3 linked regions of the Neodiprion lecontei genome follow. The protein of the gene in region 2 interacts with the protein of the main gene of each other region in a pairwise test. Links are inferred from orthologs where the notes say so. Each region holds a gene or a part of one and is shown on either strand. Other genes may lie near its edges. The genes, in order: 60S ribosomal protein L12, protein arginine N-methyltransferase 6 and N-terminal Xaa-Pro-Lys N-methyltransferase 1.

Region 1 (3,471 bases), on a different chromosome or scaffold from region 2:
CCAAAATTTGGCACTGGTTCGCTTTCCAATATCTTGACCAATTCCACTGTTCCATCTCCTGCTCCAACCACCAGTCTCTCATTGCCAAGCAAGGTCAAACCAGTAATGCCTCCCGCGTACAATATCGCCTCAGTATTTGTTTTTTTTATATTCTTAGGGACTTTTGAGTAGCAGCCAACCATCACTGGGGTTTTCACTGGCTCCATGAACTCCATATTATGATAGAAGTTTAGCCTGAGTGAGAAAGTAAAAAGGTAAGTGCCAAGAACGCATTGTGTTTTTAAATCGCTGACGATCCGCTCCTTCTCATCTTATACCTCGCTCTGATCAGATCCCCCGAAGTTGTTCCACAGTAAGCATTCTCGTCCCTAGGATCGACAACAATGCAGTTGACGGACCTCCGCAATTTTCCTACTTTCACGTTAACTCCGTAGACCTTTCGAGTCTCTCGGTATATTCTCCAGACCTTCAGCGTTCTGTCGCCGCCTGTTATAAAGCACAAGTCGCGTAGGTTCATTCTTGTTATCGTCCATGCGTCACCAGCAATTTCGTTGCTCGCGTACGACCCTGAAATTTGGTGAATGGTTTATTCAGTAGCGACATATCAACAGGGGTTCAGCAAAGTTAATTACCGCACATCGCGTCGCCCTGGCTTATGTCCCAGACAACAACGTTACCGTCGTCTCGTCCCCCCAGACTGATAAGAAAGCCGCTTTCACAGGTGAAGCAGACGTCCTCTACGCGAGCTTTGTGTATTTCGTGGCTTCCCTTTATCGATAAGTCTTTGTAATTCCAGACGATCACCATCGCCTGAAATAATTCACAATTAATTGCCGAGCGTCTGATCTAAGGGTTTGAGCCGCTGTAAATCACACCTTGAAGCCAACGTGATTTATCTGTCCAGACCCAACATAATTTCCACAAGGTGAGACGCAGACTGCGGATATGACGTTTGTGTGACCGGTGAGAAACTTCTGCTTTCCAGAGGCTATATTTTTTATTGTCACCTTGTTGCCCATTGCGTAGATCAGGTGCTCATTGTCAGGGTGAAGCTGAAGGCCCTTTCGGCTCACACCTGTCATTTAAAATATTAAAAATGAGACTATGAAGCGGAGAATTTCTCGGAAGAGGTATTGAGTAAGCGTAGGAAACTACGAACCATCGAAAGCTATTATTCCTTCCAACTCGAGATTCTCCACGTCCATTTTTACCCTTTTAAAAATTACCCCAAAGGCTAGCTTGTTCAGTTAAAATTGTTCACCGCTTAGCATTTGAGCGACATTAGACACTTCTGTCAAATTATTTCTGACTCAGCGTGCATTGAATGGTTACGGGGATTACAATTCCCCTCCCGTTTCCATGGAAACGCGGGACGTCAAGTTTAAATTCAAAGCGAAGCAACCTACCACGTGAACCAAGTGATGCTTCGATGAAGCGAAGTCATGGGATGAACAACAAAATTGTGGTAAAGAGAATGAATTAGAGGGTACGGTAAATTATTAGCTTGGGAATTGAAAGAATTCATATCCAAGATTTCGAATCGTCGCAATTTCATCAAATAGGTAATGTATCCGGGACTCAAGTAGTCTGCATCTGCTTAGGCCGAGCGCTACTAACTTCCGGCCTCCCAAAGGTCCGCCTTTCCTAAGCGCGATCCCCGCGAGTTCGCATCGTTTGTGAATCTATCATAATCGGGATCGTGTAACGTAATTTAATTAACCAGCGCATCACCATGCCTCCTAAATTCGATCCTACCGAAGTTAAGAAAGGTACGTACTCGTTACTTCCGTCCTTGAATCTCCTCAATAAAAATTATGAACCTTAATTTCGAGCTTTTTCACACGTGTCACGTATGTTGCATTATATTTTACTATTCTTACAGTCTACCTTCGATGTGTTGGAGGAGAAGTCGGTGCGACCTCTTCCCTTGCTCCGAAAATCGGTCCTCTCGGTTTGGTGGGTGAAAAACCACGATCAATCTAACCTAACCTATCCGTAATCTACACGGTCGTTTTTTTGTTTTTTTATTAACGCCCCTTACTCTCACAGTCTCCGAAAAAAGTCGGTGACGACATCGCGAAGGCGACCAGCGACTGGAAGGGTCTAAAAATTACAGTGCAGCTGACTATCCAGAACAGGCAGGCGACTATATCCGTTGTGCCGTCAGCAGCGTCACTGATCATAAAGGCACTGAAGGAGCCGCCGAGGGACAGAAAGAAACAGAAGAACATCAAGCACAGTGGTAATCTCTCTATGGACGAAGTCATAAGCATCGCTCGTGTCATGAGGCCCAGATCCATGTCCCGGGAGCTCAGCGGAACCATAAGAGAAATCCTTGGCACCTGCCAGTCTGTTGGCTGCACCGTCGAAGGACGCCCCCCACACGATCTTATAGATGAGATCAATGCTGGGCAGTTGGAAACTCCGGAAGAATAAAATGGTGGGTACAGGGCCCTGCGCTTGCGTCTTAGGTCGTTGCAACGGTGTTTATCTTGCAAGAAGTAAAGATGTCGTTAGTTCAAAAAGAGAATGCTTTGGCGCGATTTCTTTTGTTATTCATCCCTTGCCGGTGCAAATGAAAGCGTGAGCTTAGGGCTCTTGGTAGGGGTTGGCATCCCATCCACCTGATGGGTACCGATCAGAAACATGGCGACACTGTTTCTGGCCGGATTATACTGATCAGGCACTTGTGGCCATTGGGGAGAAAACCCCAACAACAAATCTGGCATATTAAAAACTGAAATATTGTGAACTCGTGCTACGATTGCTTCAAGTTTTTCTTACTTTTATTTTACTATCTGTAGTTTGGGGGTGTGGTAAAAGAAACTTTGAACACACATTACAGCCAGAGTTTGCAATAATGAATTTTAGACTCACCATCAACTCGGATTTTTTTACTGTTTCAGATGATTGAAGGAGGTTAAAATTGAATAAAGAAAATCTTATCAAACAACTTTTTTTTATTCACCCTAATCATATTGTTCTCCAACCTTATTACGTGTTTAATTTCATTGATCCTGCCTATAATATTATTTTTTCCTAAGATCGATCAATATTGTTATTAGAATTTGTAAGAACTCTGTCTTTCAACGAACATTAAAAATCAGTTATTCATCGGATTTGAATAATTCCCGGGCCAAAATGAGTGTGGCCAACTTCGCGTCCTAGTCGTCCATCTCGAATGTCGAACTTGCAATTAGTTCGATTCCTAAACGGCTCGGACTTCACGCAGGTGTCAAAAATTGCGACGACTCCGATTCAACTTCACGGTGTTCGTTTCACGGTGAAGTGACAGTTGCGATCTGATCACTGGATGATCATAAGATTACTATCTGGCCAGCGTTCCAGCTCAGTGGGTTTTTTTTTCTCGTATGTGTTTACGTATTACCTACTATCGTCCCTCAATTTCGGCGACAAACGAACGTCGACATTACGTATGGCAGGAAGAAGCCCGCGCCTCGACAGTTAATT
Region 2 (4,837 bases):
TCCATTGAATAATTAGATATCAACGAAATATTGGATAAATCATCTTGGGATAAACATAACCTTGAGAAGAACGTCAGTTACCTTCCCGATCTCTGCCCATCATTTCCGTTACTGAGTGATATTTTTCGCATCTTTGTTAATATTACGATAACATTTCACTGTGCTCACTTGATTACTACTTGTTGTTCGCAGTATTGAAATAACTGACTACATTCCATAACCTTTCAAGTAAAAATTATAATTGTCAGCTGTTTTACTTTTTTTTTCTTCTGCAAATGTCATTCATATCCAGTCGGTTCTCTCCATGCAAATAAAACAAGCGTACCATTATAATCACGCCGATTGACTGTACGCCTAACGGCAGGCAACTAAACATACGCGTATGACGTAACACGAGCTTTTTTCAGGAGTAATGGTAAAAAGAAATCCGACAAATTCATCGTTAAATCGACAATCTATGCGGGATAAAAACTCAGGTAGACACGTACAGACTAGAACGTAGTACTGTCAAAGTGTGCAGGAAAATTTATGTATTACACCATTTTTTCTGAGCACCCTTACTTCAATGGGCACAATTTATTTCCAAATTATTTAAAAAATAGTTGGAAGTAAAATCCCATGTACAAATAGTAGTCTTTAGATCCGGCTTTTATACCACATAACAACAAATACTACAGAATTATTTGTATCAAAAAATGGCTTACTTAAAATTGCAGACATCTTTAATAAAAGTTACATAAAATGTATCTGAAATATTTAAACAAATATAACAATTGAACATTCTATGTAGGTTCATATCGGGTAGAATCTCATTCCTTACTATCTAGTGAAGAGTCTTCTATGGTTTTGGGTCGCAAGCAAAAATTGATTCCCCGCAAATCACGATTGAAGGATTTTCTGTACTCTACTCGATTCGCTTGAAAAATTTACTGCACACAGTTCAGGTTGTGATAAAAGTTGTGGTATAATTTTTAGCTGGACATTTTTCTTGCTTGTTTGTCGGTAGAAAATGATTGAAAAAGAAAACTGTTTCAATTTTCAATCCAATTTTTGCGATAATTGATTGCCAGTGAACAAAATCAAACGCCCAGCTGAAAATTATAGCACACTTTTTTAACAACTTGAACTGTGATCGGTAAAATTTCCAAGTGAACTGAGTAGTCCAAGGAAAATTCGTTCAATCACGGTTAGCGAGGAGTCAAGAATTTATGTATGAACCCAACACTATGGAAGAGTCTTCACAAGATAGTAAGGAATGAGATTCTAGCCGCGCGTCAAATTCGATGACCATCCGTTGAAACCCGTCCCGTTTCGCGAGAATTAACCCATATGCTTATTCACAAGGAAACTTGCATAAGCAAGAATAGATGCAGTATGGTACTTGAAATCACAAAACATGTGACTTCGTAGTAAAAATTAAGTTTCTCTACCCTGGATATCTTCCTCTGGATGTTCAGAGAGATAAGCTTTTATTACTAAACACTTGGTCATATAACAATGACAGGGAATATCGTGTTCGACGTTTTCTGGGTCTAACTGAGTATATTCCACATTATAAATTCTTGGTTTCAAAGAATCCTTACGGAGTTCGAGCTTGAATGCTACTGGTTCATCTTTCGTTACCGGAATATCGTGTGGGAGTACTACAATACTTTGTTTCCAATGAGTTGATTCATACTCTGGACTAGTCGATAATTCCGAACCATCCGGAAATGTAACGGAAAACCATACGCAAATGCCCTGATATATTCCGTTCCGATTGCACGGTACGACCGTAGATTCACCACCGAGACATAACAATTCTGGCATAGTTGCTGTACTGAGATCCAGCCAAACAAGCAGCTTTCCATCCGTCAGTAAGTTATTTGCCTCTAAAGACGAAATATTTGGCTTTTTAGACTTCAAACGTCTCTGTTCCCGGCTGACAAACCTATTCAAAAAAAGTAAGAGAATTTTAAAACGAAAGGAAGGCTTGAACATGCTATAGTCAGAATGCTGACAGCCTGTTTTAAACTCGTGATGGCATCTATAGAATCAACCAGAAATTAAATACTAATGTTGATAGTCGACCATGCTAACAAATGTATTTCCTTACTCCATACTGACTCCGTATACATCGTTCCAAAAATCATACACAGTGGGTAATTCGCAAGGAGATGCATAAAGTTTGGCCTCGTTAGGGAACATGAGTCCATTTTCTTTCAAGAATTGATCTCTGGCCACAAGTACCGAATCCAGCATTCCCTCGTGCATCAAATGAAATCCCATCCATTCAGAGACTATGATATCGACTTTGCCGATATCATCACTCTTTAAATCTTCTACTTTACTGTGAATCACTTCTATGATACTTTCAAAACCATTTTCGCGAACTACTTCTTTTGCTACTTGTGCCATGTGGCTTGCTTCTATAGCATAAACTTTTGCAGCACCTGCTTTGGCACAGAACACCGATAGTATACCTGTTGAGAATCATCAATCAATGCAGATATTACTGGTAAGACTTCACTTGTGTCTAAATTTTCGCAACTAAAGTTCTTTGCATAATTAACAAATCGACTTCATTAATTATTATGTGATAAAAGTGTTAACTTCATACCCGTCCCAGCACCAACATCCATTACAATTTTGTTCTGAAATTTATCGCTACAAGCAAATATTGCATTTTTGTAAGCAAGGGTACGAGGTTTATCCTCTAGCATCAGTCGATGAACCTGTGGAGACAAGCGCAATGAAAAAAAACTACCGTCGTCAGTGAGAAGTCAGTAGGAAATGATCGACAGGAGGATAATAATATTAATTCAAACAATCAATCATTTCCTTTCAAACTGTCTCCATCAGTAAATATCAATAGTGACGTAAGTGAATGTTTACTTCCAGATCCTCGTAACTCTTGAAATATTCATCTGTTGAATCGCCGGTGTCCATTGTTAAATTACGTTCTTTGTCAATCTTCCTAAAAACTAAAATTACGACGATGTATGCTAGGCTAACTCTTGCACGTGACACTCATAACCTACAATTTTCGGAATGTCGTTGTCAGCCACGGTGTATACAAGATTTAAAGAGTGCGTGCGTTACAGCCAAGAGACGTCGTGAAGTGTGCGGGTTGTTCTCGGAAACGAGGAGTATTGAGTCTACGCGCAAAAGGCGCAGTCAGACTTGATGGATACGTAGCGATTATCAAAAACAAATGACTGCGACTAGATCCAAAAATGCATCCAAAACAGGATGAAATTTTATCATATTTTCTCGAAGACTGATTCAACGATGTTTTAGTGGTAATGTACGCAATGTAAGAATAAATGTTCTAATAAAACAAAACCAAGCATCTGAATCATCTTGATAAGTGCAGCTTTTAACCTAGTACCTAAAGAGTGCCTAATTGTTACATTATATCTTAAAATCGGCGTTTCTAATATAGCTTTGCTAATACTACGCACGGTGGAAAGTACAGAATAAAAACATACACTTTAGAATATACCTGTGCAGCCATAAATTATGTATTAGAATCTATCCTGATGCGATATCACAACACATTGACACCGATTCAGTATAAATTGGTTCGATGAAAATATATTCTTACCCAAAAAGAGCAGGGGCGTACCTAATTTTTGTCATCTCGCCATTTGAGCTCAGCGCCTGCAGGATGTCACTCTTGATCACTTTGATGCACTTACGGCTGCATCGAGCCGGCTCCTGAATTTGATGTATGTATATTAAATGCACTGGATATTCACATACACTTTTCACGATCAATCTGAACGCACAAACACACTCAAGCGGGTAGCTCACTATCACTATTTTATTATCCGTAAACACGACACTAAGAAAGTTCAAAGATAATTACCTCGAAAAGTTACACAAGAATTACGAATTCGACCATTTTCAAAATATCACAAGACTGAAGTTAGTAACGTTACCGTAATGAAACATTGCGAAAAAAATCAGTATTTTTTCATTTTTAAACTGACTGAAGGAACGAAAATTTCAGTATATGAGTATGTTTTGATTTATTATGGTTTACTAAATTTCAAACAATTTTCAAAATCACGAAGTAACGGTTTTTCCTCGACATGAATTGTTCCGATAAGGTCACTTATAACTTCAACATGGTAGAAGAGTAAACGTGTAAGACATTACACTGAATTTTAATCGCCAGTACGAATCTAACGATCACGGTAATAATTTCGTAGCAAAAACGTAGAGAATCTAGTTTTATGTTAGACACTTTGGGTAAGCTCCAAACGCTGTGACAAAGCTAAACAAGTCTATATTTCTGAGAACGCGAATAGGAGAAAACAACTTCTTGATTACGTCGCGTCGCAACAAATAGGTAAAACAATTGACATATTCAACGCGGTTGCAGTCACTTGTTTAAGATTGTCGAAGTTTAGTATGCCTTACGCCGAGTGATTAAACAGCAAATTTATCCACTCACGACTGTTATGTCAACCGATTAAAGGAATCTACTCGTAAGAAAAACTTACACCTAATCATAATACCGAGTTAAACATGGTTAAACGTACCGGGACACGGGTCAAGCACGCTATTCGCCAACATTCGACCAGTTCCACTTCCATGATCAACTATCACTGGCCAGTGGGCGTCGCGTAATGGCGGCCGAGCTCTCAAGCGCCGCTAGCGTGACGACGGTGATGCTCAGAACTAAATTCGATGTTGTTTTCTTTCGTTGACGCGTTTAAAAATGGAAAGCATTTGAAAATTGATTCAAGAAACAGAGTTCTATTTTCTTGACTATAATTCTATCTTTCGAGTTCTGAAAGCAGTTAATGACACAGTAAATTGATATGTATTCTTTGGTGAATTGTTAATA
Region 3 (3,943 bases), on a different chromosome or scaffold from region 2:
CTGACTGTGATCCAAACAATATGTGGCTTCAAGTTCCGTTCCTCTGTGGACACGAACCTGCTTGTTGGTATGAAGTTTTTACACTTAATATGCTTGGAAATCAATTGACTGAGAATTATTGTGCAATTTCTTATCTTTTATAATCACAAACGTATATTTAGTTGAATGTAATGATTTAATTGATTAAAGGGAAGTCGGTAATCCATGGGCAGTTGCAGAAGCTAAAAGAAATGTAGAAAAACACTACCTCCTAGTTGGAGTCACAGAAGAATTACCAGAATTTGTACAAACTCTTCAGGCTACACTACCACGATTTTTCAAAGGAGCCTATGATCACTTTATGCATAGTAAGACACGTGTTAGATATTAAGGATTGATAATAGTAAAGCATAGCATGTTTTAAAATTCAATCAAATTTTTAATAATTTTTCTAGTCTACTACTTTTATCCACTGGCAATGTCTTTACAATATAACGCAACTACAGTTTGTGATAATTTAAAAAAATCTCAAATCAATTAATTTTTTCAGATAGCAAGTCCCACTTACGACAAACTACCCAAAAAATTGACCCTCTCCCAGAAACTGTGAAGAAAATTCAAAATTCGCAAGTATGGCAGATGGAGAATGATTTATACATGCATGTTTTGGCTCATTTTCACGCAGTAAAAAAGCGTGTTATAAACTCAACGCCGCAGGAAGCGAATCAACACTTCATGTATGAAAAAATCAGACCAAAATGAAATTAAACTATGGTAAATTTAAGAGTATTGAAATATTTTTATTTAGTGAATCGACACTTTGTATCTGAAAAAATTAAACCAGTTGAGTATAAACTTTATTGAATTAAAAAGTGTTAAAATTTTTAAAAATTATTCTTGTGTATGGTTTTCAAGTGGTCTTTCTTGTTTTTCTTTACAATTTCATTCATATCAAAGAATTAAATATTAACAATCATCATATATATATATTTATTGTTGTGTGCAATGTCGGAATTAAACTGATCTATGTGATAATTGTGAACTATTTATTTCTACTGTAGTACATTGCTCACAGAATTCCGTATGATTTTTCTAGGTCGTAATATGAACATATAAACAGGATAAAGACCTCGTGGAAGTCTGGATTGTTTTTGTTCCTTTACAGAAGAAAATCCAGCCAGATCGAATAAACGTTGTAATTCCTTCAGTGGGCGTGTTACTGAGGAATCCTGTGTATCAACTTCAACGTTTTCAGAACTTGTTATATTTTCTTTTACTATTACCACGCCATTCTCTTTGAGTCCTGCCCTGTTGAATATATTTTACAAAGTTACAGATTACTATTTTACATTGTAAATTATACGGTAAATTCTCATTTCCACTGTAAATTACAATACTGAAACAAAATATGAATAGCAAATGTTACTAACTGACAGTGGCTGAAAAATTTTATAAAATCGTTATCTTGTAGATGTCCTAAAACCCATTGACACCATATGACATCATACTTCCCTACTTCAGGACAAAAGTTTTGCAGACCTGTAAGAGTAATATCCTGTAAAGTATTACATGTATTATATGTAAATTATTTAAGATTCTCAGGCTTTTACTTTCATACCTATGGGAAAAAATTCCCCAACTCTTTTTGTACGACCAGCGAGGTAAGTTTTTGCTGCTTCTAGAAACTCGGAATTTTGCTCAACCAAATCAACTTTTTTGAAGTGTTTGGTAAGTAGATGTTTTGATATTCTGCCAATCCCAGAACCACAGTCTAAAGCATATTCTTTTCTCGGAGGATTTTTTAACTGAAACGTGCGTTATATGGAAATCACAGAATATAGATCAAAATATATTTTTGGAATCAGCCTTCAGATGGATTCCAAAATTATACGAAAGCACATGTGGGTTTGAATTTTGAGGTTACGTTCCTAGGTATCTCGGCATCAATGTGGCGAGCATCAATAAAATATTTATGAAACACAATTTTGTGTAAATTTGACTGAATACCGTACCTTGAAGGCTGATCTTAGAAATAATTCCGACCCTTCGATATCTGTGTTCGAAATGAACCCAAATCCTCCTAACATTCCATCCTCTGTGGCTGGGACTTTAGACCAGTAGTTGGCAGCGTCGGAATAAAAATTTTCAGTCCTTTTGTCATTTTTCTGAATATCATCCATTACTAAATTGATATTTTTAAGATTTGAGCACTTTTTCTAATTTGTTATACACATCACTTTCATTGTGTAATTTTAAAATGTACCCGGGTTATTCAATTTTTATATTGTGACTTTATTATGATTATTATTGTTTTCCTCGACCGTTCCAAAAGGCAAACTTATTTACCCGAATGTGTGTGCATCTCAAACACGATTTTTATGGCTGATTTCAAACTATTTCAAATTAGTGGTCAGGTTTTTTTGTATCGTGGTTTGTTGTTTAACAATCGTATTATCATTCCCGGTCCCGTAAAATACGCACGTTAAACAGTTTTCATACATTTACCAGAACTGTTAGTGAGTATTCATCTGTTGTCCAGCGATAACATCGAAATTTAATAATCTGCTTCAACCTTCATTTCAGTTACTAACCGTTGTGATATAATTCAGGACTTAGCCTAGATGAGTCGTTGAGGATTTTAGAAACAGAAAATGAGCAAGTATAGGAGGAAGCAATCGTCGCCAGAAGACAGTGACAGTGACAGCGAAGAGGAGAGGCGCAAAAGGGATATTAAGGAAAGGGATGAATTTGCCAAACGTCTCAAGTCCAAAGATGATACGAAGGTGCGCAAGGTTGCTACACCAGCTGGATCCGGGGCTGGTAAGTTTAGGCAAAATGTCCTAAGTTGTTTTATCAGCTTTATACAATCACTTAGTGGTGACATTCATACACTTAATATTATCAAATTTGCAGCGGAAGCAGCCAAGAGACTTAAGGTTATGGAAACTCAATCTCGTGATAAGCTTATTCCTAAACTTCGCGTCGAATCGCGGAGGAAGTATTTAGAGAAACGAAAGGAAGATAAGGTAGCTGAGCTCGAGGCTGACATATTAGACGATGAATATCTCTTTGGAGATGAGATGTGAGTTTTACAGGAGTAGAATACTTTTCTGGTTGGATTGAAGTATTGATTTTCAAAATTATAAATCAAATTCATTTAACAGCCTGACTGAGCGCGAAAAGAGGGAACGAGAACATAAAAAGCAGCTACTTCAGCTTGCCAAAGAGCATGAGAAGGCGCGTGAAATGGAACGGGTGCAAAGGTATCACATGCCTCATGAACGAGGCAAAGATGCTGTTGAGCCTGAAACTGTTGACCCAGAACCACCGCAATCTGAGCAAAGCAAATGGGAGTCGGACCAGATGTCATCAGCAGTATTTCGTTTTGGGGCAAAAGATAGAAAAGGTAATAATTCTTCTCACAATTATCAGTAAGATTTGCTTATTTATAATTTTTAAGGAATATTTAATTTTTTACAGCTAAACAGGATTATGATCTGTTGCTGGAAGATGAAGTAGAGTTTGTCCAGGCGCTGCAGATACCAGGAAGCTCCAAGCATAAGAAACAAGCTGTTTCTCCTCCGAAGGAAATGAAAGTTTTAACTACCATTGAAGAGACACAGAAAAGTCTTCCTATATATCCTTTTAAAAATGACTTGATACAGGCTATCAGGGATCATCAGGTGAAATTTGATATCTGTATTACGTTACTCTCATTCATTTGCCTTGTACTTTTTTTACTGTAAGATTTATGTTATGTCTGAACAGGTGTTAATTATTGAGGGCGAAACTGGTTCTGGCAAAACAACTCAGATTCCACAGTATTTATATCAGGCTGGTTTTGCTGATGACAGTAAAGTCATAGGCTGCACTCAGCCCAGAAGAGTTGCTGCAATGTCTGTTGCCGCAAGAGTTGCACATGAAATGGCTGTTAAATTAGGAAACGAAGTTGGATATGCTATTC

Evidence for each region.
Region 1: the proteins of protein arginine N-methyltransferase 6 (region 2) and 60S ribosomal protein L12 interact in a two-hybrid assay, tested with the Drosophila melanogaster proteins (2 studies listed by BioGRID). The link is inferred for Neodiprion lecontei from reciprocal best matches to the Drosophila melanogaster genes Art8 and RpL12.
Region 3: the proteins of protein arginine N-methyltransferase 6 (region 2) and N-terminal Xaa-Pro-Lys N-methyltransferase 1 interact in a two-hybrid assay, tested with the Drosophila melanogaster proteins (2 studies listed by BioGRID). The link is inferred for Neodiprion lecontei from reciprocal best matches to the Drosophila melanogaster genes Art8 and Ntmt.

The regions. Positions count from the first base shown.
Region 1 is NC_060266.1:224,919-228,389, forward strand, and holds 60S ribosomal protein L12, read left to right. Parts: upstream 1-1,627; 5' UTR 1,628-1,732; coding exon 1,733-1,769; intron 1,770-1,882; coding exon 1,883-1,956; intron 1,957-2,049; coding exon 2,050-2,436; 3' UTR 2,437-2,440; intron 2,441-2,906; 3' UTR 2,907-2,950; downstream 2,951-3,471. Other genes in the region: cilia- and flagella-associated protein 52, read right to left, coding at 1-234, 318-567, 633-810, 876-1,075, 1,160-1,205.
Region 2 is NC_060260.1:29,298,901-29,303,737, forward strand, and holds protein arginine N-methyltransferase 6, read right to left. Parts: upstream 3,103-4,837; 5' UTR 2,929-3,102; coding exon 2,875-2,928; intron 2,715-2,874; coding exon 2,600-2,714; intron 2,463-2,599; coding exon 2,096-2,462; intron 1,931-2,095; coding exon 1,417-1,930; 3' UTR 540-1,416; downstream 1-539. Other genes in the region: lysM and putative peptidoglycan-binding domain-containing protein 3, read right to left, coding at 82-131.
Region 3 is NC_060261.1:34,123,907-34,127,849, forward strand, and holds N-terminal Xaa-Pro-Lys N-methyltransferase 1, read right to left. Parts: upstream 2,284-3,943; 5' UTR 2,160-2,283; coding exon 1,992-2,159; intron 1,785-1,991; coding exon 1,598-1,784; intron 1,519-1,597; coding exon 1,410-1,518; exon of another isoform or gene 1,288-1,409; coding exon 1,032-1,287; 3' UTR 742-1,031; downstream 1-741. Other genes in the region: heparin sulfate O-sulfotransferase, read left to right, coding at 1-67, 190-347, 530-741; probable pre-mRNA-splicing factor ATP-dependent RNA helicase mog-4, read left to right, coding at 2,631-2,799, 2,893-3,061, 3,144-3,385, 3,460-3,662, 3,748-3,943. UniProt on the Drosophila melanogaster protein: Alpha-N-methyltransferase that methylates the N-terminus of target proteins containing the N-terminal motif [Ala/Pro/Ser]-Pro-Lys when the initiator Met is cleaved.